Linked DNA regions of Drosophila melanogaster. The protein of the gene in region 1 purifies or fractionates together with the protein of each later gene. This does not show direct contact. Each region holds a gene or a part of one and is shown on either strand. Other genes may lie near its edges.

Region 1 (13,603 bases):
TGTTGCAATCCGTGTATCTGTATTCATGTTCTTATCGCACCCCGAAGTTATAGAAGCTATATAAAAGTATTGTTTTCCTATTGAAGTGTAAGCCAGATAAGTAAACTGTTTCTCATTGTTATAGTACATCACGCCGAGAACTTAACACGTAGCTCGCTTCGCCAAAGATCGGGCGCCAGATCGGGTGGTGTATCTTCGGATCGCAATCGGAATCGGCATCGGCATCCTAAGCGGCCAGTACACGCGTGAACTATGCCGTGCGTTGACGGTGCGGTCTTCTAGTTCGGAAAGATTTCGGCACACTCAGTTCCGACACAGACGGTAAAACTCACCAAAATCCGTTGCATATATAGACCACGGATATATACACACTTATTCACACAACATTGGAAGCTCCAATTAAAGTTGTGCGACGCCTAAGAATAGAAAGCATTTCGTAATGGAGATTTTCTGTTCGAGAATGCATTATATGATCGGGAATCGAGAATCCTACAATTTCCGGCACTCAGCAGTCATATCTCAGACATCTCATGGTTTTTGTAGATCACATAGATTTCGCAGTACCGAAATAGTTCAAAAATAGCACAAATATATGCGAGCATGACTGTTGCCCCTCCCGCCGTCCCCCCATTGGATCGTGTATATGGCATAGATAACTCGCGATATCGGTTTCTGTAATACCCGACCAACACAAACATTGACCAAAAGATCATCGTCATCATGTAAATATTGAGTGGGATGGATGGGGCCAATGTGTTGAAAGTGCCTGACCATTCTGATGTATAGGATAGACGTATTCGAACAGTCTGTGCGCTTCTCTGAATTTCTCAAAAACCTTCGCATTCACAAATAGCCAGATATACGCGTATTCAAGACGCTCCCAAAGCTGTCTTATATCTTGCTCCTCCACTCGCCTGTGTGCTTTTTCCGACCGCTCCGATGTGTCGTTGTGTCGCCGCCGCCAGTTTTTATTTTTAGCAGCATGGGTTTCTTATTTTGATTTTGTGCTGGCCGACGTGTATTAGCATTTTTGGATCCCCATCTCACTCGCTCCCTTGCCGGGCAATGCGGTTTGTGTTTGGACCATCCAACATGTGTTTGAACGCCCAATTGCAGCGCATTCACATCGCACATCGTGGATGTGCATCCTCCATTCGGAGGAGACCCAAAATATCTTGGCTGACTGGCTGTCTTTTTTGTGGTTATTTCGGTGCAGAGAATTGGAAAAACATTGCAAATACCCCGGCCCCAATTGCTTGCGACACTCAATTAAATGCTGAGCAGTACGAATCACTAAAGATTATTGCCAAAATAGACATTCGAAAAGTATAATTTTAGATACAATTAATTGACAGGCGAATCGATGATATTTTTGACTGCATATTATAGAGTAGTTCAATCGCTTTTCGCCTAATATTCAGCATCTGCTTTCCTTAAATCTTTCGAATTCTACAAATGTTTCTAGAATAATTCGCAGTGTTCACGCTGATGTCCGATAAGTATTAATTTGTACATATGGATATGTCCACCGTCCACTTGCAATATGCGCACTGCCGAATTGAAGGCGCCAGATATTCGTTCGTATAATAGCCACCACTTCCGTTACAGAGTCTTGCGGGGAGCCACAAAGGAAGCCAGCTGAAACATGGAGCGACATTTGCACTGAAATTTATGCATTCGGTACGCCCGATGGTGATAGCTATGGTCATGATGATGATGATGACGTTGGTAGTCCATTGGAGGCAAATAATAATTCCCGTAGCATCCTCCGGAGGCAACTCTGATGGCCGGTTGTTTACGAAATTCCCCTGCGCGTTAGTCACGACGTCGATTTCGGGGGGCAGTCGATGCTCGATTGGGTGTACGTGCTATATGTGTATATCTATCTATATATATATATATATATGTATACGGCAACTGGTGCTGGCCCGTACAAATAAGGCGCGAAAAGCAAACCCGGAGCACGTCAATATCTGCGGCTGCGGGAGGTGGGACGGAATCTTCTTGGTTTCTGCCGCTTTATTCGCGAATGGGGTCGAAAACAAGAAGATTTCGCAGTAATTTGGGGCTGGGCATCTCTTCCTTATTTACTATGGGCCAAGAAGCATCGTCATGTCCAGGAACTTGGCCCCGCCGAAAACGTCAAAGGTGTCGTGTCACCTTTTTAATTCTAAAATAAAGAAATAAAAAAAAATAAAAAGAAAACTCCAGACAAAATTCATAAGTAAAGCCAACGTTTCGCCTACAATCTTTTTGCAGGGTTTTCTCCACCATCACTTGATTATTCCGCGGGCTGGACATGACGGACAAGGAGAGCGAGCAGTGCACCGTCTCGGTCTTTGACCAGACACCCGGCTCGGAGCAAAAGAAGATCAACGTAGTGGTCCGCTCCCACTTCACGGTGAAACGCGTGATTGACCTTATTGGCACGCAGTTCTCGTACGAAAAGTTCGAGCTGTTGCTGCAGCCACACGATAACAAGGATCTGGTAAAAATATCTGCACATCTTGAGGTTCTAATAAACCGCTAATTGAATTCCCCTTTACTTTAGGTCAATCTGAATGCCCTGGAATCTCAGCTGATGTACGAAGTGGCTGGTTTTGAGCCCCAGCTGAAGAATCACTTGATCCTGCTGCCCTCCGGCAGTTGGGATGGTGACGTGACCAAACGCTTTGAGTTACCCATTAAAAGAGTGGTAGTCAAAAAGGTTATGAAGTCGGACGGCGAGAAGGCCAAGAGTCCTGCCACCGGCGAGAAGAAGAAACGCGTAGTTGGTGAGAAAACGAAAAAGAAGCCAGCTTCGGGATCTTCCTCTCCAAGCAAGGCCAAGACGACGAGTGAGGACTCTTTGGCTAAGACCAGCATCAGTTCGGAATCAAGTCCCGAAAAGACTTCCAAGATCAAGACGACTGCAGCAAAGATCTCCAAGCCCGGTTCGGAAAAAGCTCCCAGGGCTAGCCCTGAAGAATGTCCCGAGCTGTCTACAGAGATAAACTCTAAAAACACTTCTTCGGAGAGTCCTGTGGCCAAGAAAACGGCCAAGGTCACTTCTAAGCCGACTTTAGAGTTGCTGAGTCCAATCAAGCCGTCATCACCCATCAAAGAGTTGGACTGCGAACCAGTAGACACCCTGAGCAAGCAACAGCTCTCTGAGCAACTGCAGCTGTATCCACAAGGTAGAAACCTAATCTCACCGGTGGACGATGCTCCTTCAGATCTTTTCATCTCAGATGCTGAACAATTGTCGGATGACGACCTGGCACTCGGAGCATCTGCTAGTCCGACAATGCTGGGACCTGGATACGATTACGGAGCTCCGACCGGTGACTCGGACGTCGAGGGTGTGACCGGAGTGACAGACCCATCCACAATTGGAACAGACGATGGTACGTACCCGGCTCTGTCAAACTTCTATCGTCGCAAGTATGGAGGCGATGAGTTGCGAGCATGGCAGAGAGTCAACACAACGGGTGCGGACTTCGTGTCCTCGGCCACCACAGAAACTGAGGCAGAGGCAAGGCAGGCGAGCTTGGGTCCCAGGGGATATGTTGGTTTGGTCAACCAAGCCATGACCTGCTATCTAAACAGCTTGCTGCAGGCACTCTTTATGACACCCGAGTTCAGAAATGCTCTGTACCGCTGGGAGTTCGACAATGACAACGAGGCCAAGAACATACCATACCAACTGCAAAAGCTCTTCCTCAACTTGCAGACCTCGCCCAAAGCGGCGGTAGAAACCACAGACCTGACTCGCAGCTTTGGGTGGGACTCGACGGAGGCATGGCAGCAGCACGATATCCAGGAACTGTGCCGAGTTATGTTCGACGCTCTGGAGCACAAATTCAAGAACACTAAGCAGGCAAATCTCATCTCTAATCTGTACGAGGGCAAGATGAATGATTATGTCAAGTGTTTGGAGTGCAATACCGAGAAGACGCGCGAGGACACCTTTCTAGATATCCCGCTCCCTGTGAGGCCCTTTGGAAGCAGCTCCGCATACGGCAGCATCGAGGAAGCTCTGCGTGCCTTCGTTCAGCCCGAAACACTCGATGGCAATAACCAGTATCTGTGCGAGAAGTGCAAGAAAAAATGCGACGCCCACAAGGGACTGCACTTTAAGTCCTTTCCCTACATCCTCACGCTGCACCTTAAACGCTTTGACTTTGACTACCAGACCATGCACCGCATCAAATTAAACGACAGGTTAGTCTCTTTGCCATAATCCATAAGCATTTAATTCCATGCTCGCCCTCTATTTCAGAGTGACCTTCCCTCAGACGCTCAACCTGAACACGTTCATTAACCGAAGTGGAAACAGCGGTGAGCAAAACTCTCAGCTCAACGGCACCGTGGACGATTGCAGCACGGCGGATAGTGGATCCGCCATGGAGGACGATAATTTGAGCAGCGGCGTGGTGACCACAGCGAGCTCTAGTCAGCACGAAAACGATCTGAACGACGAGGATGAAGGCATCGACATGAGCAGCAGCACCAGCAAGAGCGCCAAGCAAGGATCCGGTCCGTATCTCTACGAACTGTTCGCCATCATGATTCATTCAGGCAGCGCTTCGGGCGGACACTACTATGCTTATATTAAGGACTTCGACAACAACGAGTGGTTCTGTTTTAACGATCAGAACGTGACTAGTGTAGGTTTTCGCAACACATTCATAACTTGAGAAAATATTGAACGACTATCTATCCATAGATCACCCAAGAGGACATCCAACGTTCGTTTGGCGGACCCAACGGGAGCTACTACTCCAGTGCCTACACCTCCAGCACCAATGCATACATGTTGATGTACCGGCAGGTGGATGCCAAAAGAAACGAGCTAGTCGCCAAGGTGGCCGACTTTCCTGAGCACATCAAAACGCTGCTACCAAAGCTGCACTCGGAGGAGGAGACGCGCGTGTCCCGCCTGGGCAGGCATATCACGGTTACGGACTTGGCTCTTCCGGATTTGTACAAGCCGCGCGTCTACTTCTATAATCCCTCCCTGAAGAAGATGAAGATTACCAGAGTGTACGTATCGCAGAGTTTCAACATCAACTTGGTCCTCATGTCGGCCTATGAGATGTTGAATGTGGAACAATTCGCGCCGCTTTCCCGCTGTCGTTTGGTGGCTTACAACTCCTCGATGGACACGATTATTCAGTCCCTGGAGAGTTGCACAGACCCAGCTTTGACCGAACTGCGCGCGGCGCAGAACTACAGTCTCGACTTCCTGCTGGAGTACCGGGCCGAGGACCAAGAGTTTGAGGTCTATCCGCCGAACGGCATTACTTGGTATGTGTTTAAGGTAGATCTATCGACCATGGCGATGGACGGTCCCTTCCTGGTTTACTCAGCAGCGCGGGAGCGGGAAGCCAGCGACGTCCTTCGCCGCTCGATCGCCCTCCGTTTGCACATTAGCGAGCAGCAGTTCCTACTCGCCACGGTGCGCGCCACGGTGCCGAAGGCTTTCGTGTCCTACGATCCGCATCCGACGCCGGAGGCCCTGCAACATCTCCAGAACATGGCCAACACCCAGTTTAAGTCCATAACATACTTCTACTTGAACGTACCCAACACGGATGCCGCGACCCTTGAGATGCTCGGTGTGCCCACCGTTGAGTCAGTCGAGGTAGGTTATACAGCTGTTGGGTTTATAACTAAGGTTAATTTTTGGCTGTCCTTTCAGTGCGCCAGCGGGGGTGATGTTGTGGATGCTGCAATGATGAATGGCGTGGCACCTGGTCACATGTCATCCAGCAACGACTACGATTGGAGGCGCTACAAGCGAGATCTAGTGGAACCCATGTCACAACCCAGTCCCAGCCACGGCCACGAGTCCAACTCGGAGGACAGTAGTCTGAGCGACGGAGACCGAACTCTGGTGGAGACGGACAACATGGCACATCGCGGTGGAGGCGACAGCCAAGTCAGTTCCACCAGTCACTCGCCGCAGCTGTCTAGTCCGGAGGACGAAGCAGCCTCACACGATGCCATGATGCGCGTTCATGCCTACTGCAATGGAAACGGCAGTTATGCGGCGGCCGATGTGGTGGATCCGCTGCTCCTGCCCACCAGCACCAACCACTTCTTCTACGCCACAAAGGTCGAGTGCGTGGATGTGGTTGGCACCGGTTCCAGTTCTGGTCACCAGTCCGACGAAGAGGCTCAGCTGCGTAAGCCCACGCGTGCCTATAAGCTGCTGGTGGGCACACACATGCGAATGGGGGCCTTTAAGAAACACATCGAGCAGCTGATCCAAGTGCCCGCCGCCCACTTTAAACTGCAGCGGAAACACGATAATAATCTGTCGAACAACCAGAACAACTCGTTGGTACATCTCATAGAAGGCGAAACACTGACGGTGGAGTTGGGTAAGACGCTGGAGCCGGACGAGTTCAAGGCCAAGATTCACTTCCTGCGACTGGCGGACATTGATAACGAGACGTCCAAACTGCCTTGCGTATGCGAGTGGGTCTACAATGCCAACACCACGGCGGAGCAGGCCAAGAAGGAACTGGTGGCCAAGCTGCATCGCATAGACGCCAAGTACGCCACACTGTCTGTGCAAAACTGTCGCATCTGGCTGAAGGGCGGACGTATTCCCATCAAAATTCTGTCCGACGATGAAACGCTCTACTGCGACATGCGCTCCAGCATCGCAGCGGAGGTGGGTTCCCCTGTCTCTGTGATGAGAAAAAAACTTAACTTGGATTTTATATCACACCATTTCAGTTCATTGTGCAAGAGTGCGAGGAGGAAGTGGACCCGCAGCCCAAGGACGATTCTCTGACTTTATTTGTAAGACGGTGGTGTCCGGCTAAACTGGAGTTTGGAAAGTTCCAAGAAATCACTTTGGACCGTAAGTTAAATCTGTATATTGCCCTGTAAGCAGTAAATCGAACTCGTATCTTCTGCAGAGGACAGCGAAATCAGACTTTCATTATCACAGATCAGCGACATCCCAATAGACAAACTGAGCTATATGAAGGTTCGTAAAATTGCGTTCTACTGTGTATATTGATCTAATTGGTCTTCTCTGCAGTTGAACAGCAACTTCCCCTGCACAAGCATATCAGCGTTAAGTGTTAACGAGTCCAGCAGTTGGTACTCCGTGCCCACCACCCTGGACAAATATCCGCTTAATAGCACACAGACAGGAAACATCTACCTGTACAAGTAAGCGTGGAGCAAGTGGCAGTTCAGTTCCTAGACTAACCAATGAATTCAACAGAGATAGGACGGTACCTGCGCGAGAGCTGACGCTGGAGGAGCGACGCCTGATGAACGCCAGGGAGAAGGCACGACTGGATCGGGTGGGCTGCGTGTCCACCACGCGGTATGCGCAGCGCCGGGAACGTGCCTTGAAGATTTACCTGGACTCTCCGGAGAAGTCGAGCAACGTGACCGCCTCCGCACCGATGGACGTGCATGTCAATAATTAGTCTGGCGAGTAGAAAACAGTCGCGGCGATCATAACAAAAAAAAAAAAAGTACACCAAACCATGTATGTAAGCGACGGCAGACCATTAAATCCCAGATCCTCTTTTGATCACCGGCCACATATCTTTGTCGTCTGCAAGTGCTGCTCGTGTTTTCTATACTTCATCCGCAGCAATTGCGTTTTTTGTTGTTCTTTATTTTGTTTGACGCAAGGGAAGAGGTCAGCGAGTTGGGCAAAGTCGCCGTATACGGCATCGAATTGGTCTGGTCTTGTTGGGATTGGATCTGGGATGGACAACTGGGGTGGCCAAGTGAGCACAGCACTAAGTGACGTTTAACATAACGAAGTTATTCTTGCAACTTTCGTAATACAAGAGTTCAAAGATGAGACTGTAAAATTTAAAATAACAAAAGGCAAGAAATCTAAATTACAAATTGTATAATGTGAATGTGAACATCAAAACTAAATTAAACGTATAAAATAAACACAACTCGCAAGTGCATTTATTAGAATGAGAAGCGTATCGAAATCGAATTAAAATTGGGCGCCAGCGGAAAGTAAATAAATGAAAAATCGTTTGGCATTTATCGGCTGTTTTATAGAAAATGTTAATTTTATTTAATACCTACTACGCAGCGTTAATAACGTTTCACTTGAATTATATTTTAAGATCATTTAGCGTTAAAATTGTTACAATTTGATGACAGTTCTTGCTTTGCTTTTTCGTTGCGATGATGTTGAACAGACCGATAAACGAAGGCAGCTTATAGTAAAGGAAATAAAGAGGTAAAGTTGGCGCGGGACCGACCGACCGCCCGCCTTGTTGATGGATGGAGGATTTCTGGGGAAATGTATCCTCAAATTGTTGCCGTCTTCTCTTCTGTCCTGTTCTGTTGTCAAAAGGGTCCTCTAATACGCAACGAATTCGATAGTAAAAATCTGTGGAGCGCAGCGTTGGGCAGCGCAATTGTTCACATTGTGTTTCCGTTGATGGCTTGGCGGTGCGGATCATCATCAGCGGGCTGGTCTATGCCTTGGTCTCCACGGCCGGCGCCGTTTCCACCTTTGTCGCCGCCCCAGCTGTTGCCTTCTTGCCCTTACCCTTGCCCTTCACAGGACCCAAAGGCTGCGCGAGCAGAGTCTGCAAAAAGTTGAGATTTCATTGAGTACGCATCGTGAATACAAGGAAATTGTTGCAGCTTACCTTGAGCTCCTCCTGCGCAACACTGTACTCGCTCACATAGTTCTCCGCCTCGAATGGGATGCCGGTGACCAAGTTGACGCCGTTAGGCATGAGCAGAACCGTGTGCTTAAACTGCGCCACAATCTCGGCTGTAATGCAAGATAAGGAAAAGGATTGTTTAACTTTGCTATTACTTCCGGCTAAAATTCGAACTTTATAAAGGTTGCTCAAACTAGTTTAGTCTCTAAATTAACTTTAATAAGTATAAGAAAACAGGTTAATAGATTGGATACGATTGTGACAGTGCCATGTTCAGACAGAGGCCACACTGAGGCAACTGCTGAAGACGACAATGCCTGGAATTTGTTCTGGCAAAATGTCTGGCCGCACTTAGCACCCGAAGGTGTACCAGGTCCGGAATTAAGTTCTGCCAACTCGCATAATAGGGAATAGGATTAATAATAATATGCATCACACTTACATGGCTTCTCGTACAGCACTTGGAAGGGCTCAATCATCTTGTGGCCGACGCACTCAACAACTCCCATGCGGGCCTTGGTCTCCTCCTCGAAGCTGCGGATGTTGAATGGCATGTTTCCGTACTTGGTTTTCACCTCTGCCAGCAGAGCACGGGACGCCTTCATCTTGAGCATGTAGTTCTCCTCAGACTTCTTGTAAATTGAGACCTTGGTGTCCTTTTCGCGTCCCTGCAACGAATACGAATAATGTTAGCAATAATGCTCTGGCTGCGATGATCCAGGATCCAGCTTAAATTTGGCGTTCTCAGATCTCATAATCTTGCAATCTTCGGACAACAGCCAGCCGGAACTTGGTGTCTGCACGTGCCGCATTTTAGTATAAAAAAACGCCGAGCAAACAAGTCACTCTCGCAACAAACACCGCATTCCAGCAAAGTCAGCCTCAAGCGCGTGTTTTTAATCATCGAACAAATTAGTGGAGATGTAGTGTCTATTGATGGATTACTAACCACTCCTTCGCCGGTACTGACGATAACATCGATGGCATACACCTCGTACGTTTCGAAGGTGCACTTCTCATGCTCCTTGCGCTGCGCCTCGCTGGGGTTCTGTATGATCGTCTTCTCGCCGTCAATTTTGAACTGCTTCAGCTCGTGACTGAGCATGCCCTCAATGGGCTTGCACTTATACGACTCGCTGATTTGTTGCACTGCATCGGTGAGGGAGTAGTTCTGTAAGGATACAGAATTGAAACATAAATATTAAGTATGAAATAAAATGGAAATAGTTCAAAGCAGAGATAAAGAAAACATTCCAATTCCCTTTGACTAATCTTAATCAAATATCATAGTATACTATAGATAACGCAAAATAACAATAACTGATCGGCATTATCATTGCGATTGTGGACAACTTTAAAGACCGAACATTTCAAGTATCTAAACTTGTTCAGTTCACGAAATCGACACTGTTGATCTCTGCAGACGTTGAGCTGTGCTGAGCCACGAGTTAAGGCAGCAGACAATCCGTTGCCTGCAGATTACAATTCCGACATATCTATAAACTGGAGATGTGGACAAATTTAAAGACCGAACACTTCTATGGAATGAACTTGTTCAGTTCACGAAATTGACACAGTTTCTATCCGCAGGTGTTGAGCTGATCTGTGTCAGAGTTTGAGCGCAGTCAATCCGTTGCCTGCAGAAGAAATAACCTTGTGGACAACTGACAAGAAGCCTCCAGTCCTGAATAATAGGCCAGGGCAATTACCAGCTGCCACAGCTGATCTTTGCAAGTGTTGAGATGTTCAGTCGCTGGAGAATCGCGGCAGACAATCCGTTTCTTGCAGGGATTAACGGAGGATTACCTAGAAGTAAGGGAGGACTCACATTGGCGCCGGACTTGAGCAGACGTAAGGCAGCCTGGACAGCCCAGTAGGCGGCGAGGATGACATCGGCCTGGCGACCACTGATCTTCTGATCCGCAGCAGCGCCTACCACAATTGTGTGAGCGGCCACGGCAATGAAACCATCAATGTGGGCACCCAGATCGCTGTAGAAAAGAAATGTTACGTATTTAGTGGCGGTATATGTGGAATAGGAGGTTCAACTTACATTTTGACCACATCACCGGCCTTTAACGTGTAGTCAGCATCGTTTTTGGCTGGCGAGAAGTGGCAGACACAGTTGTTGACGGACAGACAGGTGGGAAAGGCAATGCCCTTCTTCAGGTCTTTCTCCTTTTTGTATACCTGTTTGTGAAAGATCGATAAAAGCATTAGATTGCTTGTTCGTTGTACTATATATCAATGATAGTGCGCGGTGTGTCCTCAGATCTCATAATCTGTAAATCCTCGGGACCTTTTGGAGAGCACACAAGCCGGGCACGTGGAGCATTGGAGTCCCCGCGTGCGCCTGGCGACCACGAGGTGATCCCCAGCCCGCACAGCACATGGCTCGCCATCGGGAAACCCTCAAAGGTGTAAGTCTTAATCATTGGACATGAAATTGGCGCGAATGACCGCCAGGTGGCCACCACTTACTTTGCCGGTCTCCTCGGTGAGCTGATTGTCGCCCTGGGTGCAGATCTCCCGGACGGAGGCATCAACCACGCAGAGTCCAATTACCGCCTTGAGGGTTTCTAAAATTAAACGAGCAGACAGAGTCCAGAAATAGGCAGATTAACCAACGCGTGGCGCACAAGGGAAAGCGGCATTCGGTGCATTGTGTAAGCGCCACGTAGCAGCGACTCCAGGAATCGGCCAGCGTTCGCTGTTTCCGGCCAAGGAATACTCACTGTTGACGATTTCGCCGGCCAACTTATACTTGGTCACCACCAAATCCTCGGCGATGGTCTTCTCGGGCTCCTTTTCCACATCTGCCATTGTACTTGACTCTAATAATTTTAAAATGGCGACTTAATGAAAATGCGACCGACTGAAACACCACGAGGTAATGAACGTGTGGCCAGGCGCAGCGCAGGTATCGAAAGTTCCAGTGGCGTGTATGGTGGGACCGCTCATTCGCCTTGACAACCCTGGCAAATGGGCGGTAAGCTTAAGATGAGCGTGAAAGCGTAGATTGCTAGTCGTAAACACTGAATGAATTTTAAATAACACTTTGAGCTATATCAAATGAGAATATTTCATAGTTTTACATATTGTAATCCACTAATATTTCAATAAAAGTTTAAATATTAAGTTTCGGTTTTTTTCTATTACACATAAATGGTCCCTCTAAAAATAGGAAGTCAAAGAGCTCGAAATATCGATACCATCACAGTGTGACCGCTTGTGGAATACCGCATTCGGTATTTTTCTTAGCACGAATTTGGACTAAATGCATATTACAAGTCATCTTTAACAAAAAAAATTTGCATTGAACGTTAATAATAACATTTACTTGCTTAAATCCAATTCGGCTGCCGAAACAAAAGCTCAATTAATAGAAACCTAATCCTATCACCATGTCCGTGCGCGTGATCAACGACGAGTCCCACTTCCAGGCGGAGTTGGCCCAAGCGGGCATTCAATTGGTTGTGGTGGACTTCACAGCTTCGTGGTGTGGTCCCTGCAAGCGGATTGCGCCCATCTTCGAGACGTTTCCAACAAAGTACCCAAAGGCCATCTTCCTGAAAGTGGATGTGGACAAGTGCCAGGACACGGCTGCTGGACAGGGCGTTTCGGCCATGCCAACATTCATCTTCTACAGGAACAGGACCAAGATCGATCGCGTCCAGGGTGCGGACGTCAATGGGCTCGAGGCCAAGATCCAGGAGCACATCGGTACATCCGGTGGCGAGGAGGGGGGCGAGGATTACGGGCAGGGATTGGTAATATAGTGCAGTATTTGGAAATGTTCCAAAAATAATCCCTAATCCTTCTTACAGATGGAACTGAATACATTTATTTCGAAGCAGGAGTGCGAGTGCCTCAACGAAGCTGATGACCACAACTTAAAGCACGCCCTGGCCTCCGCCGGTGGCTACCTGCAGTCCGATTGCGATGAGCAGCTCATCCTGTCCATCACCTTTAATCAGGCTGTGAAGATCCACTCTTTGAAGTTCAAGGCACCTTCGCACCTGGGTCCCAAGGATGTGAAGCTGTTCATTAACCAGCCCCGCACGATTGACTTTGACATGGCCGAGTCCATGAACAGTGTGCAGGATCTAAGGTAGCTATTGCCTTCTCTATGGCTGCTTAGCTCTTCTCACTGTTCAATCCATTTTGCAGCCTGGCTCAGAAGGAGCTGGAGAGTGGAGTGCCCGTGAATCTGCGCTACGTCAAGTTCCAGAATGTGCAAAACATCCAAATCTTCGTGAAGAACAATCAGTCAGGTGGCGATGTGACGCAGATTGATTATATCGGCTTCATCGGTTCCCCCATCATGACCACCAAGATGAACGACTTCAAGCGAGTGGCTGGCAAGAAGGGCGAGAGCCACTAAGGTTCCATTGAAATTTTCAGCGTTTTTCCCCAATGACGTCCCAGCATTTCTTTTCAACTTTGGACTTACAACTAAACAATATACAACAAATGCATAAAAAATCATACAAAATAAGGATCAACAAGATAATCTAAATATCCATCGGGTTAAAGGCTGCTCTGGTAAGAGTCCAGTTCCTTGGTAAGCATTTTCCACGCACGCTCCGCCTGTTTCTGGGTGAATTCGTGATCCCATTGCGAACTGAATATCACATGCGACTTGGCCACGATCTCAGAATTGGGCACCTGACTGGCCAGTCGCTTTTGGGCCTCCACTTCGCTCAACTTGTTGCGCTCAATAATCCGCCGCACAGCCTCATCCGGTGGCACAATCATGGACCACACCTCATGGCAATTGGTCTCCCAGCCCGCTCGCAGCAGCACCGCTGCCTCCAGGACCACCACACGCGGCACGTCCGCCTGGGAACGCAGTGCATCCAGCCGCCTGTTAACCTCCGCAATAAGTTCCGGCCAGACAATGCCGTTGAGTGCTTGCAACTGCTTGGGATCGGCAAACACCA
Region 2 (11,164 bases), on another chromosome or scaffold:
CCTTTACTATTAGCTCATCCAGCAGAAGTTTTCTTTCTTTTCCGGCGGGTTCGGTGTATTTTGCGCTAACATAAACCTTATTGGCAGTGACGGAATCATAAACAGGGTTCCTCGTATCAACTCCATTGATATGGTCTGCTTTAACTGCGCCGTGCACCACCAGCGTGTCCACCGTGACCTCATCGAAATTGGGTTCTTCATTTGGTTGATCAACGGATCTCTTATTGGGATGTCTGGAACCTGCGAGGGTTGTTTTTTGTTCGATTTTATCCAAGGCCTGCTTGGTTAGCTTCAAAGCCTTCCAGTAATTAGGTGTGAGTTTCATGTGCTTATCCTCGAACTGAAAATATGAGGTTTTTATCAAAATATTTTGACTTTCCTGCTACTTCTTACCGATTTGGCGTTCACTTGCTTGATAATCGACACTTTCAGTTTCTCCTCACGGTGCTTTAACTTGTCCTACATATTACATATGAATTCTTTACTTACTTGAATCTTTTAGAACACAAAACTTACTTTCAATCTTATTAATAGATGATCTAAATTCATTTGCTCCAATCGCTTTCTTTGCTCCCGAGCCCAGTCAATGATTTGCTGGCGAAGTATGTTGGCATGCTCATCTTGTTTGTAGAGTGGCTGAAAGATGTTTGTCTCGTTGGCAGCCATATTCTCATTCGCAATCACTGGATATAGGCAAATTTCAGCATACGATGTATAAAAACCCAAAGATACTTACCCAAATAGCTTTGATCTCCCTCCTCATAGCTTCGCATACGTGCCACACCACGACTTAAAGCTCCCTCGGTGAACTGCACCTTGGATTCCTCGAATCGCCAGTCGTTAAGGTTATAGATCTTGACATCCTGTTTATTACAAGCAACCAGGAGTAGAAACTTCTCCGATATTGAGTGCTAAAGGATTCCACATTTTATGAATGCCATGAAAAGTTTGATCCGAAATTACCTGAACTGGCAAAACCCTTTCCAAGGCATAGAAACTCAATCGCTGATACGGCACAAACTGCCCCTTTTCGAAGACATAGATCACGGTGTCCGCATCGCCCACCTCGGCGCCAGTTCCGCCAATTGTGTTGCCCAGGATGAGAAAGTGCCTGCGGCTGACCTCGTTTACTGGGAGACTGAAGTACTTTACGTCCACGGCTCCATTGCTGCGCAGTCGCTGGAAGAGTTGGAATCTCTGGGACTTGGCATCCCATCGAAAGATCTCTGAGTGGGTGGCAGTTCGTCCCTCCGCATCTGCGTAGTTGGCTACGGCCACATAGTCGGTGTAGTCAATGCCGAAGGCCTCCATTCTTCGAGCTTTGCTGCAGTGAATCGCGCCCAGTCTCTGGAAACTCTTGCCCATCCACTTGAAGTAGGGACACTGCGCATTCGATTCGAAGGCATGCAGTAGAGTAAGTTCCTGGCTGCTGATCCGAAGGTACATTCCACGCAGATGTGTTCCCGAAAAGTATTGCACTGTCCGTATCCCCGTTTCCGGGGAAATCTCATAGATGGGTGATCCTTCACGGGCCTGGCTTACGGGCTCTGTTAGATTGTAGCTCACTGCTACGTAGCCACGCCCAGCGAAGGCCAGGCAATCCAGAGCCACTGCCTTAGGTGTTTCCAACTCCACGAGGAGCTGGTAGTCCTGCTCAGCTGGACGCCAGGTATAGACGGCAAAGTGACGCACTCCTGCGGCATTTTTATGCAAGGCCGTAGCGTACTTGACCGTGGGCAGTTGGAGGATGCAAATGTCAAGGGGAAAAGACACCGGCACGGAGGCCACTCGTTCTAGTCCATCGAAACTAAAGCTAGCTGGAAGAGGCATAAAGTGTTTTAGACAATAAGTTGCACAAACACTAATCACAAAAGATTCCTCTTCAGCTTTTTGTACTTTCATCTTTAGGATAGAGCCGTAGGTAATCCGTCGCCGCTGACTAAACCAAACAATTCTTTCTAACTCTTCGTTAGCCATGGCCGATGAGGAGCTGCAAACCTACCGTCGCTGCGTTGGCCTGCAGCTGGAGGAGCTGGAGCTGCTGAGCTCCATATACTGCGCGCCCGGAGAGCTGCATATGCTCGATGCCGGCGTAGTGGCTGATTTCAATGAGTTTCTCAAGGATGATAAGACAAAACCCGCTACTAGCCTTCTATCCCATTTGGAGTATGTGGTCAAATTGACTCTACCAGGCAAACAGTGCGTGGAAGTGCGAGTGGAACTGCCGCACCTATATCCGCTTTTGGAGCAGGCACGCGTCAGTGTACACACTACGCTACTGGGAAAATCCAAGGAGCAGCGCTTAAAGAATGATTTGGAGCAGTATCATGGTGAAAGGCGGGAGGAGGACGCCGAGCCGTACATCTTCCAGCTGCTGAGCTGGCTGCAGGACCGCATCGAGGATCTGTTAAAACGACCAGCTTCCGAGTTTGAAGTGCAGCAGGTAGCATCATCAGACCCGCAACAGCCACCAGCTACGGAACTTCAGAGAATTTGGATTTATTCGCATCACATCAAATCCAGTGCCAAGCGGCAGGAGCTGATTCGGCAGGCCCGACAGTTGGAGCTCACAGGATTCAGTAGACCCGGTAAACCGGGCATCATATGCGTGGAAGGTGATTCGGCAAATGTACAGGAATTCTGGCGCACCATCAAGGCCCTGCGCTGGCAGAAGATCAGCGTGGTGCGGACGGAGCCTCGGCAGCGCAAGCGGGGATTCGAGGACTTCAGCGAACAGCTTTTTAATGCCGAAGAAGGCGTCATGAACATGGGCCAGTTCATTCGATTCCTCGAAGCCCACGGATTTGGCTACATGAAGTCGGAATTGTTTGGTTTAGCCTGAGCACTGGATTTCCCATCAAAATTTAACATGTTAATAAAGTTTGTTATATCATTTCAAACCTTGGTCGAAAAACTGAGGCACAGCAGTCGCCCGTTTGTGGAGCATCGATTCCTGATCTGAGTTCAGGAAGTGTGTGGGATAGGATTCCCGGAAGTTTACTTCAAAACTGATCACGCGGGCGATCACAGCCGCAAAGATCAACAAATTGCAACAGATTTGATACATATATTTATTTTGTGTAAACTATACAAAACGAAACATTCAAACTGTAACACGTGCACTGGTTGCAAAATAACTTTTACTACCGGCCATGATATTTTACGGTTCTTAAAGCTTTATTTAGTATGATTGTCATATGTTTGGTACCCTATATCATAGTGGGTGTATTAGAGCAGAGAGAAGTTCGTATTTTGGTACATTGGCTTTTAAATGTATTATTTGTTTCTCTTAAATTTCTTTTATATAAATCCGTCTGCCTCGATTTCTGATACAAATTCATTTTCAACTATCTTCGTTGACTTGGCCGATTGTTGTGCCGACGACATATCCTTGCTTATGTCTTTTTCTAAATTTCCTGCCTTTTGTGCTGCCTCTGAGGTTCGTTTTCCATTCTTCATAAAGGCACAGTAGCAGCAGTGGTCTGGTGATCGAGAAAACTTCTTCATTTGGGTGGCGTCTCGCCATCGGCGAACCCAAGAAATTTGGTAGTAGGCCCTTCTAAAGTTCTCATTGTTGAAGCCATAGATCAGCGGATTGACGGCGGCGTTCAGAAACATCAAATACTGTGATATGTACCAGAATAGCTGCATTCCACTGCTGACAGAGACATCTTCACCGAAGTATTTTTCCCGTAGTACAACCAGGATTGTAAAGGGCAGTCGTAGAGCTGCAAAGACAACGACCACAATGAACAGTGTCTTGGCCACGCTGCGTTTATAGCTCACTGTCAGCGGGTTCTCGCGACTTAGGACCCGCTTTTCATACCGATCAAGCTGTTTTTGAGTTGGCTTATTAGTTAAAAATCCAGGATGAGCACACTTTCTTTGCTTACCTTATAAAATATGGCTATGTAGCAGATAAGCATGATGCCTAATGGCAGCCACACCAGAATGGTGATCAGAACATACCAGTACTTGGGCAGCACAGAGGTGTTCTCCTTGCAATATCGCTCCGTAAAGTTCTTCCACACTCGCACCCTGTAAGAGCGATAGAAAGCCAATGGTGATGCCAATAGGATACCCGAGACCCAGGTGCAGACCACCACTATCTGGACGCCCCTTATGGTGAGGCGCGTCTCCATTGGCAGCACGATGGCCGTGAGACGATCGTAGCTGACTACCGAGAGATTGAGCACGGCTGTGATGAGGAAGACCACCACCAAAAAGCCCTCCAGCTTGCAGCCCACGCATCCCAACTGGTAGTTCTGATAGAAGTCGTTCACCATGAACATGGCAGGACAAATGGCCAGGGTCAGTAGATCCGCAACGGCCATATTTGCAATAATCAAGTTGGTGGGCGAGCGCAAAGAACGGTTGGTGGCTATCACATAAACCATGCTGAAGTTTCCATACAGACCAAAAGCAATCAGTGGTAGAAAAGTGCAGATCTTCCAGGTGATCTCCCCATTGGGCTTGTGCAGCCAGATGCGCTCGGCTGGGAAGTCCCATTTGCCGAAGTCAAACTAAATGAAAAAGGTATAACTACGGTGAAATGAAAATCTTACTCATTACTAACATCGTCGCTGCTGGAAACCGAAGCCATTCCGTTGGATTCCTGCTTCGACGCCTTTTGCAGAGGAACTGCCTAAGCGTTCGTCAAATTAACATGACCAACACTTGATCCCACTTCATTTAGTTAGTTAGGTGATTGACAATGCTATTAACAAGTGTCACAGATAGTGCTCGCTAAAAGCTAATGGCTCTGCGATTTGGCCATCTGTCGCGTCGCTCTCGGCGATTCTCATGAGAAGTCTAGTTAGTTGTTTTGAGGATTGTTTTTGCCTTTTATTGAATACTAATTAAAACACGTTCCGACTTTAATCGATGTCGAGTTTTCGGAAGGATCCCTCAGCGCCAAAAATTGAATCCGCATTAACACGCTTTCCAGGCCGCAGCTGCTCATCCACTCCGTACTGGGAATCCTCAGCAAAATAGCTCTCATAGGACAGCAATTTCTTCTCCGCTTCCGCCTGAATGTCGGCTATACGTCCATTGTTGCCACCATATTCTTCCGGCAGGTATTCGCGTGGTATCACCTCGTTTAATTGCTCGAGATTTTTATACACGTGAAACTGAAAAAGTAGAGAGCCATGTGTGTGATGAGTCAGGGAAATAGATTATTCTCCTATTCGCTGATATATCTACTTGCACCTTCCCCCCGTATCTTAAAACTCGGCCCAGTGTTTCAATGATAAGAGCCCATGTGCGTGGTCAACTGACCTTAGGCAATGCTGCTCCACACACAGTATTTCACAGTATGCGGACCCAGCTCGAAAGTTAGTGGCTCTGATTTGTGAAATATTAATTAATAGTTCAGGGGTGAGAGAGTGCCACAGCTCTTCAACGCCTATCAGCTGCCTGCTAGACCAGCTGATAATCTCGTTGAAGTGTCCGATAAGGGAACGAAAATAAATTAGCTAGAGTGGCTACGACTATTCAATTATTCTTGCCTACTCACCCGCTGCTGGAGCTTGCTGGGCATTAGGCTCTTGGCCAAATTCAGTAACGCCACTCCCTCCTTGGGGCAATTGATCAGATGGACTCCTTTCAAGCGAGTGGGCTGTGCCTTCTCAGCGAATATTCCCATCCTTTTGATGAGCGTGAAATCCAGTTGGGCCAGAAAACTGAGGCTCATTTTGGCCATGTCAACGATCTCGACGTAGCCGCTAATGTTGCTGTGGTCATCCTCACGGATTGACTGTTCCGTTATCATGGTTTGGTAGCGGAAGAGATCCAATAACTTGAATTCCTTAGGGTCGAATTTCTCATAGTTCGTAAGCTGCAGGCGGGGGCCATCGGTTCCCCAAGGTTTGGGCAATCGAACATAGGTTCTAAATAGAAATTTAAGTTTCTTAAGTTTTTAAATATCCTTGATGAGCGCCTTTTAACTCACCCAGATCTGCACAAGATTAGGTTCCTTTCGTCCACCAATCTTTTGCCGAAGAGCTCAGGCATAAGCGTCTTAATAGTATAAAAGTGATCCAGCTTGGACTTGGTCTTCTCCAGGCTAAACTTGCAGCCTCGCAAGAAGCCAACTAGGAACTGGTCATCCTGGCGGGCCCTCAGATGAGGTTGCTTGGCCAACCAATCCCGAAGAGCTTTCAGATCCGCGGGCACTCGCTCCTCCACTTCGTTTAGCTCCGTTTCAGCAATGCGACGAAGTTCGGCGCTCAGGGGACGCAGATTGGCCATTTTTGGGAAGTCGCTTGCTTCGTGGCGGCTGGACGGCTACTAAACGCTCTTCCTAATCGCACGGCGGCCAAAATCCCCGGGCCGAAACGGAACCGTTAAAAGCTAATCTGAGCTGCCTTTATGGCCACTCATTCAGTTGATAGCGGACACGACCATTTCCACCACTCTCTTTTGCTCCGACGGCCCATCAAATCCAACCCGATCTTTTGGGTGTAGGCGGTCGAAGTCTCTCCTCGGAGGAGATAAGATTACGGCTCCACTGCATCTATGGCGTGTAAGCGTGCAGCTGGCGAAGAAGCAGTTGACTCTGTGGATAGAAATACGCCACAATTCAAACGGTTGTGAGTATGCAGATCGTATCTTATCACCGGATCGGAAAAGCACAGTTGGCAGGAATTACCCAATTATGGGGTTTAAAAGTTAATGACATATCAAGTGGGTGTATTTTTTTTTAAAGATATAAGTTGATTGAACAATTTATTATTTATCGGGGGTGTAAAAAATCGATTATCATCTTTAAATCGCAATGAAATCGCAATTTTAAGGCTGGATTGCTTAAGAAGTATACTAAAAATATCCAAATATATATCATCCTATATAAATAAAATTTTTTAAACTTTATACTAGCATTACAAAATTGAGATTACCAATACGAAACCAGTAAGGTGCAAATGTATTTTCCAGTGCACTTATCATATTCACATAACATTGCTATTTGTGTTTGCTCTATCGGCCACTGATATCACATAATCTGGTGCTCAAATGGTTTGTCATTGTGAGTTTGCTCCGTGCCGTAGTGTTTTTCGCGTTCTTCTGCACCAGTGTGCCCGCTATCGAATCCGGGAGGGTTCCCGAACCGATCAGAATCGGTAACCCAGTCCAAGCAGGCGGGCGCAAACTTTTCTGTTAGTCGTGTTCGCACCTGGCGAGAGAACACACACACCTTAGCACACTCCAAGCCTTCGGTATCGTATCTCAAAATTAAGACAAGTATCGATCGATTTGCAGATTCCCTGTGACCATGGCCAAGATACGATCGCTGGAGCCGGAGCTGGCAGAGGTGGCTCGAACGCAGCTCTGCGAGGATCCGTCCTCGACGGTTGCGAAGATCGAGGCGCTAAGGACCTGGATCGACAAACAGATCTACCTGGAGGCGCGGACCGACGATCAGTTCTTGGTGGCCTTTCTGCGCTTCTGCCGCTGGGACGTAGAGGAGGCCAAGAAGAGGGTACTCTTCTACTACACCTACAAATCAAAGGAAAGAGAACTGCTCAAGGGTCGCCAGGTGGACGATAAGCTGATAGAACTGGCTCGTTCAGGGTAAGGCGGGGACCCCCCTCATTTTCTGGAGGTGGGTGTTATAGAAAAACTTGTTCTTTTGCAGAATATTCGCCACATTGCCCAAACCTATTGGCCCTGGTGGCCCCCGCATCCACTACACACGAATGGGTCACATTGAACCTTCCAAGCACAGTGTCAGCGACATTTTCCGCTTCCACGCTTTTCGCGCTGAGATCGAGATCAACACGGACGACAACTGGAACATAGCCGGCGTGGTGGAGATCATCGACTTCACCAAGATACCCTACTCTCTGCTACTGCAGTTCGATCCTGGCATGTTCAAGCGGATGAATGCATTCCTAGAGCATGGAATTCCAGCGAATTTAGTGGCCACGCACATTGTCAATGCATCCAGGGAGACGCAGTTTGTCCTTGGACTGGTTCGGAATGTCATGAAGCAAAAGGAGCTGGTGAGTTCAAAGGGAAAATCGATGCAGAACCACTAACTCTTTGCTACCCTTCCTACAGTTGCACATTCACTCCACCGTCGCGTCTCTGCGAAAGGCAATTGGATTGGAGTATTTACCCGTGGAAATGGGCGGCGATAATGGATCTTTGTCTGATGCAATGACGCGCTACGAGACCCAGCTGCTAAGCTTTTCCCCGTACTTCACGGAAGACGAGCGATATGGCGTGGATGAGAAATTGCGGGAAGCCAGTGAGAAGGATCAGGAAAGGGGTGCTCCGTTAGTAACCGACGTTCCGAACGACGGAACCTTCCGAATGATTAACTTCGATTGAGTCAATGATCGGGCAGTTAGTTGTATATTCTGATGCACATCCTATAGAACACCCATTTAACACACAGCCCGATATATACACACTGGAATGTATAGACACTACAGCGCTAAAGCGATCTTTGGTCATAGCAGAACCTGATATTTTATAAATGAAACCATAAGGGAGGAACATCGAAACTAAAAGCAAATTGAACAATATTATAGACGACAAGTGCACACTAAAACGAAATAAGAAGCAAATGGATCGCCATCAAATGGCACAAAAACCTCACAAGTTTGTCGATTTTAATTTATTGCTGTCCTTATCCACGCACATACTTATACACATTCTAACGTCCGGTCGAACGATTCATTCTACCATGATCCCATAATGCATTTTCATGATGAAATCTTCAACGTCTTCTACTTGCGTGCTAAGTTGTTGTTGGCTTTGATTTTATCGCATACTTTTATAAATACGGTACATGAGCATACATATATATTTTGGATAATTTTTCAGTTGGTTAAGTGTCGTTTTTACTAATTTTTGATACTAGTTTACACATACATATACATGCATCTCTATATTTATGGATAATACATACATAGTTAAATGACTATATTTAAATGTGACAATGTACTGTAGACCCCATGTTGAGTGCGTTAATAAATTAAAGCGAATTTGTTTAAATGTCGGTATAACTAAAACATAAATGGTATTACTTGGGGTTGCCTTCTTCATAAATGGGGTAAGGGTAATGTGTTTATCTGGTCGAGATAAACGCTTTGTGGTTCTTGATGACTGGTTGACATATCGCTGTTTGAACTGAGATTCCGATAAGTGAAATCGATAAGCTTTCGGTTATGACAAAAGCAAGGCTACAGCATTTAATTTTATTGATCATTGGTATATTTTATCTGACTTCTTACCACCACCTGATTATTTTGAACTTATATATTTGCCCGCCCTTCTCGGATTCCCCATAGAATGGGATGGGATGGCAATATCATTTTGGGTACAGTGTTGAAAAGCGACCAGTTTGAACTTTGGACCGGAATAAAGCTTTTTGCTTTGAGCTTTTTGACATTTCATCAGCGACAACAAATATATTTTGTTTTCGTGTTTACCGGGCTTCCTGAAGCTAACTGATTAATTAATTGCCAAGATGTCGAAGGCTATTAAGTATTATTACGATTTCCTATCGCAGCCATCCCGCGCCCTCTGGATTGCTATGAAATTGGGCAAGACCCCATTTGAAGACTGCCCGGTTGCCCTGCGAAAACGTAAGAATAAATAACAAGTTACACATGTATATAAGGTATAAAGATCTTCTAACATTTGGGATGGTTATATTCCAGAGGAGCAATTGACCGACGAATATCGCAGTATAAATCGGTTCCAAAAGGTGCCGGCCATCGTGGATGGTAAATTTCAGTTGGGCGAGAGTGTCTCCATAGTGCGGTAAGTTCAAGTATCCAGAGCTCGGATTGCCAGGTTAATACTATAGATAAATGACACATTTCAGATATCTCGCGGACAAGGGAGTCTTCAGTGAACAGCTGTACCCCAAAACCTTGGAGGAACGCGCGCGGGTGGACGAGTTCCTCGAGTGGCAGCATTTCAATGTCCGCTTGGTCTGCTCCCTGTTCTTCCGTCAGGTGTGGCTTCTTCCGGCAAAGGGACTGGCGCCGGCTCCCAAGCCAGAGTCTGTCAAGAAGCTAATCAAGGATGTGGAGAGTAATTTGGGTCTACTGGAACGCCTCTGGCTGGAAAAGGACTTCTTAGTCGGCGACAAACTTACCGTGGCAGACATCTTCGGGTCTTCAGAAATTAATCAGATGAGTAAGACTGAGCCCACTGCTGTATCTAAAATAAATTCTAATAATAACGATTTGTAATTTAGAGCTCTGCCAGTACAACGTAAATGAGAAGCAATTCCCCAAGGTGGCCAAGTGGATGGAACGCGTTCGTGATGCTACCAATCCCTACTACGATGAGGCCCACAGCTTCGTCTACAAGACCTCTCAGCAGGCAGTCAAGGCCAAAAACTGATTTCTTTTCGATTTTGACTGATTTCTTTGTTCATTGCATTTATTAGGATTTTAAAACATTTTTGTGCCTTATCTGATGTTTATTGTGTTCAGTTCTGCGCTGCAAAACTCCTAAATGTTAAAATAATTAGAGACTATGAAAAGGGGTGATATCGGATCAATAATAGTTTCATATGTTCGCTTTATATAATATAACTATCTTTGAAGTTGGGAGCCACTTTTGAATTTGCCTCCTAAAGCGGGACAACTATAATAGCATAAAACCAGTGTTGCAAGGTGACACTCAAGATCTTTTGACTGGAGCTTTGCTCAATTTCTCATTTTCCAGCTGAAGATATTCGTTTTTGCCGGCTGTTTGGAAGTTGGGGCTGAGGAACGGGAGCAATTGACCACCATGTCCAAGCCAATTAGATTCTATTACGATTTGTTGTCCCCGATCGCCCGTGGTCTATGGATTGGTTTAAAATTCAGCAACTCACCCGTTGAGTATTGCCCGATTGCCCTGCGAAAATGTGAGTCAAAGTAATCATCTAAACTGCCCCGACTCATTTATGTTTTATTAGTTGAGCAATTGACCGACGAGTACAAGAAGATCAATCGATTCCAGAAGGTGCCCGCCATTGTGGGTGGGGACTTCCATTTGTCTGAGACCATAGCGATTATAAGGTATGGGAAGGCCATCATTGGAAAGCAATCTCACATTTGGATCGTACATTGCCCCCTTGCAGATATCTCGCAGACAAAGGTCAGTTCGATGAGAAGCTCTACCCAAAGACGCTGGAGAACCGTGCCCGAGTGGA

What was found.
Region 2: the proteins of CG10576 (region 1) and CG30339 purify together in Drosophila melanogaster (affinity purification with mass spectrometry, with the first as the bait; one large-scale study listed by BioGRID). This does not show direct contact.

The regions. Positions count from the first base shown.
Region 1 is NT_037436.4:5,753,946-5,767,548, forward strand, and holds CG10576 (uncharacterized protein), read right to left. Parts: upstream 11,758-13,603; 5' UTR 11,484-11,757; coding exon 11,396-11,483; intron 11,240-11,395; coding exon 11,142-11,239; intron 11,102-11,141; exon of another isoform or gene 10,916-11,101; intron 10,851-10,915; coding exon 10,714-10,850; intron 10,652-10,713; coding exon 10,489-10,651; intron 10,450-10,488; exon of another isoform or gene 10,313-10,449; intron 10,305-10,312; exon of another isoform or gene 10,168-10,304; intron 10,140-10,167; exon of another isoform or gene 10,001-10,139; intron 9,832-10,000; coding exon 9,610-9,831; intron 9,478-9,609; exon of another isoform or gene 9,400-9,477; intron 9,329-9,399; coding exon 9,103-9,328; intron 9,056-9,102; exon of another isoform or gene 8,915-9,055; intron 8,771-8,914; coding exon 8,643-8,770; intron 8,580-8,642; coding exon 8,466-8,579; 3' UTR 8,018-8,465; downstream 1-8,017. Other genes in the region: Usp47 (ubiquitin specific protease 47), read left to right, coding at 2,300-2,488, 2,552-4,203, 4,262-4,649, 4,709-5,626, 5,684-6,664, 6,730-6,856, 6,915-6,985, 7,040-7,173 and 1 more; Txl (Thioredoxin-like), read left to right, coding at 12,065-12,430, 12,488-12,771, 12,831-13,044; Ppat-Dpck (bifunctional phosphopantetheine adenylyltransferase - Dephospho-CoA kinase), read right to left, coding at 13,191-13,603.
Region 2 is NT_033778.4:9,596,609-9,607,772, forward strand, and holds CG30339 (uncharacterized protein), read right to left. Parts: upstream 6,294-11,164; 5' UTR 6,253-6,293; coding exon 5,954-6,252; intron 5,892-5,953; coding exon 5,519-5,891; intron 5,133-5,518; coding exon 4,878-5,132; 3' UTR 4,823-4,877; downstream 1-4,822. Other genes in the region: clos (closca), read right to left, coding at 1-340, 394-459, 517-683, 737-911, 964-1,817, 2,902-3,067; CG30338 (uncharacterized protein), read left to right, coding at 1,976-2,842; CG30340 (uncharacterized protein), read right to left, coding at 3,301-3,834, 3,894-4,523, 4,577-4,603; CG1902 (uncharacterized protein), read left to right, coding at 7,274-7,572, 7,637-8,003, 8,062-8,334; GstT1 (glutathione S transferase T1), read left to right, coding at 9,479-9,596, 9,672-9,774, 9,839-10,155, 10,217-10,365; GstT2 (glutathione S transferase T2), read left to right, coding at 10,759-10,876, 10,928-11,030, 11,093-11,164.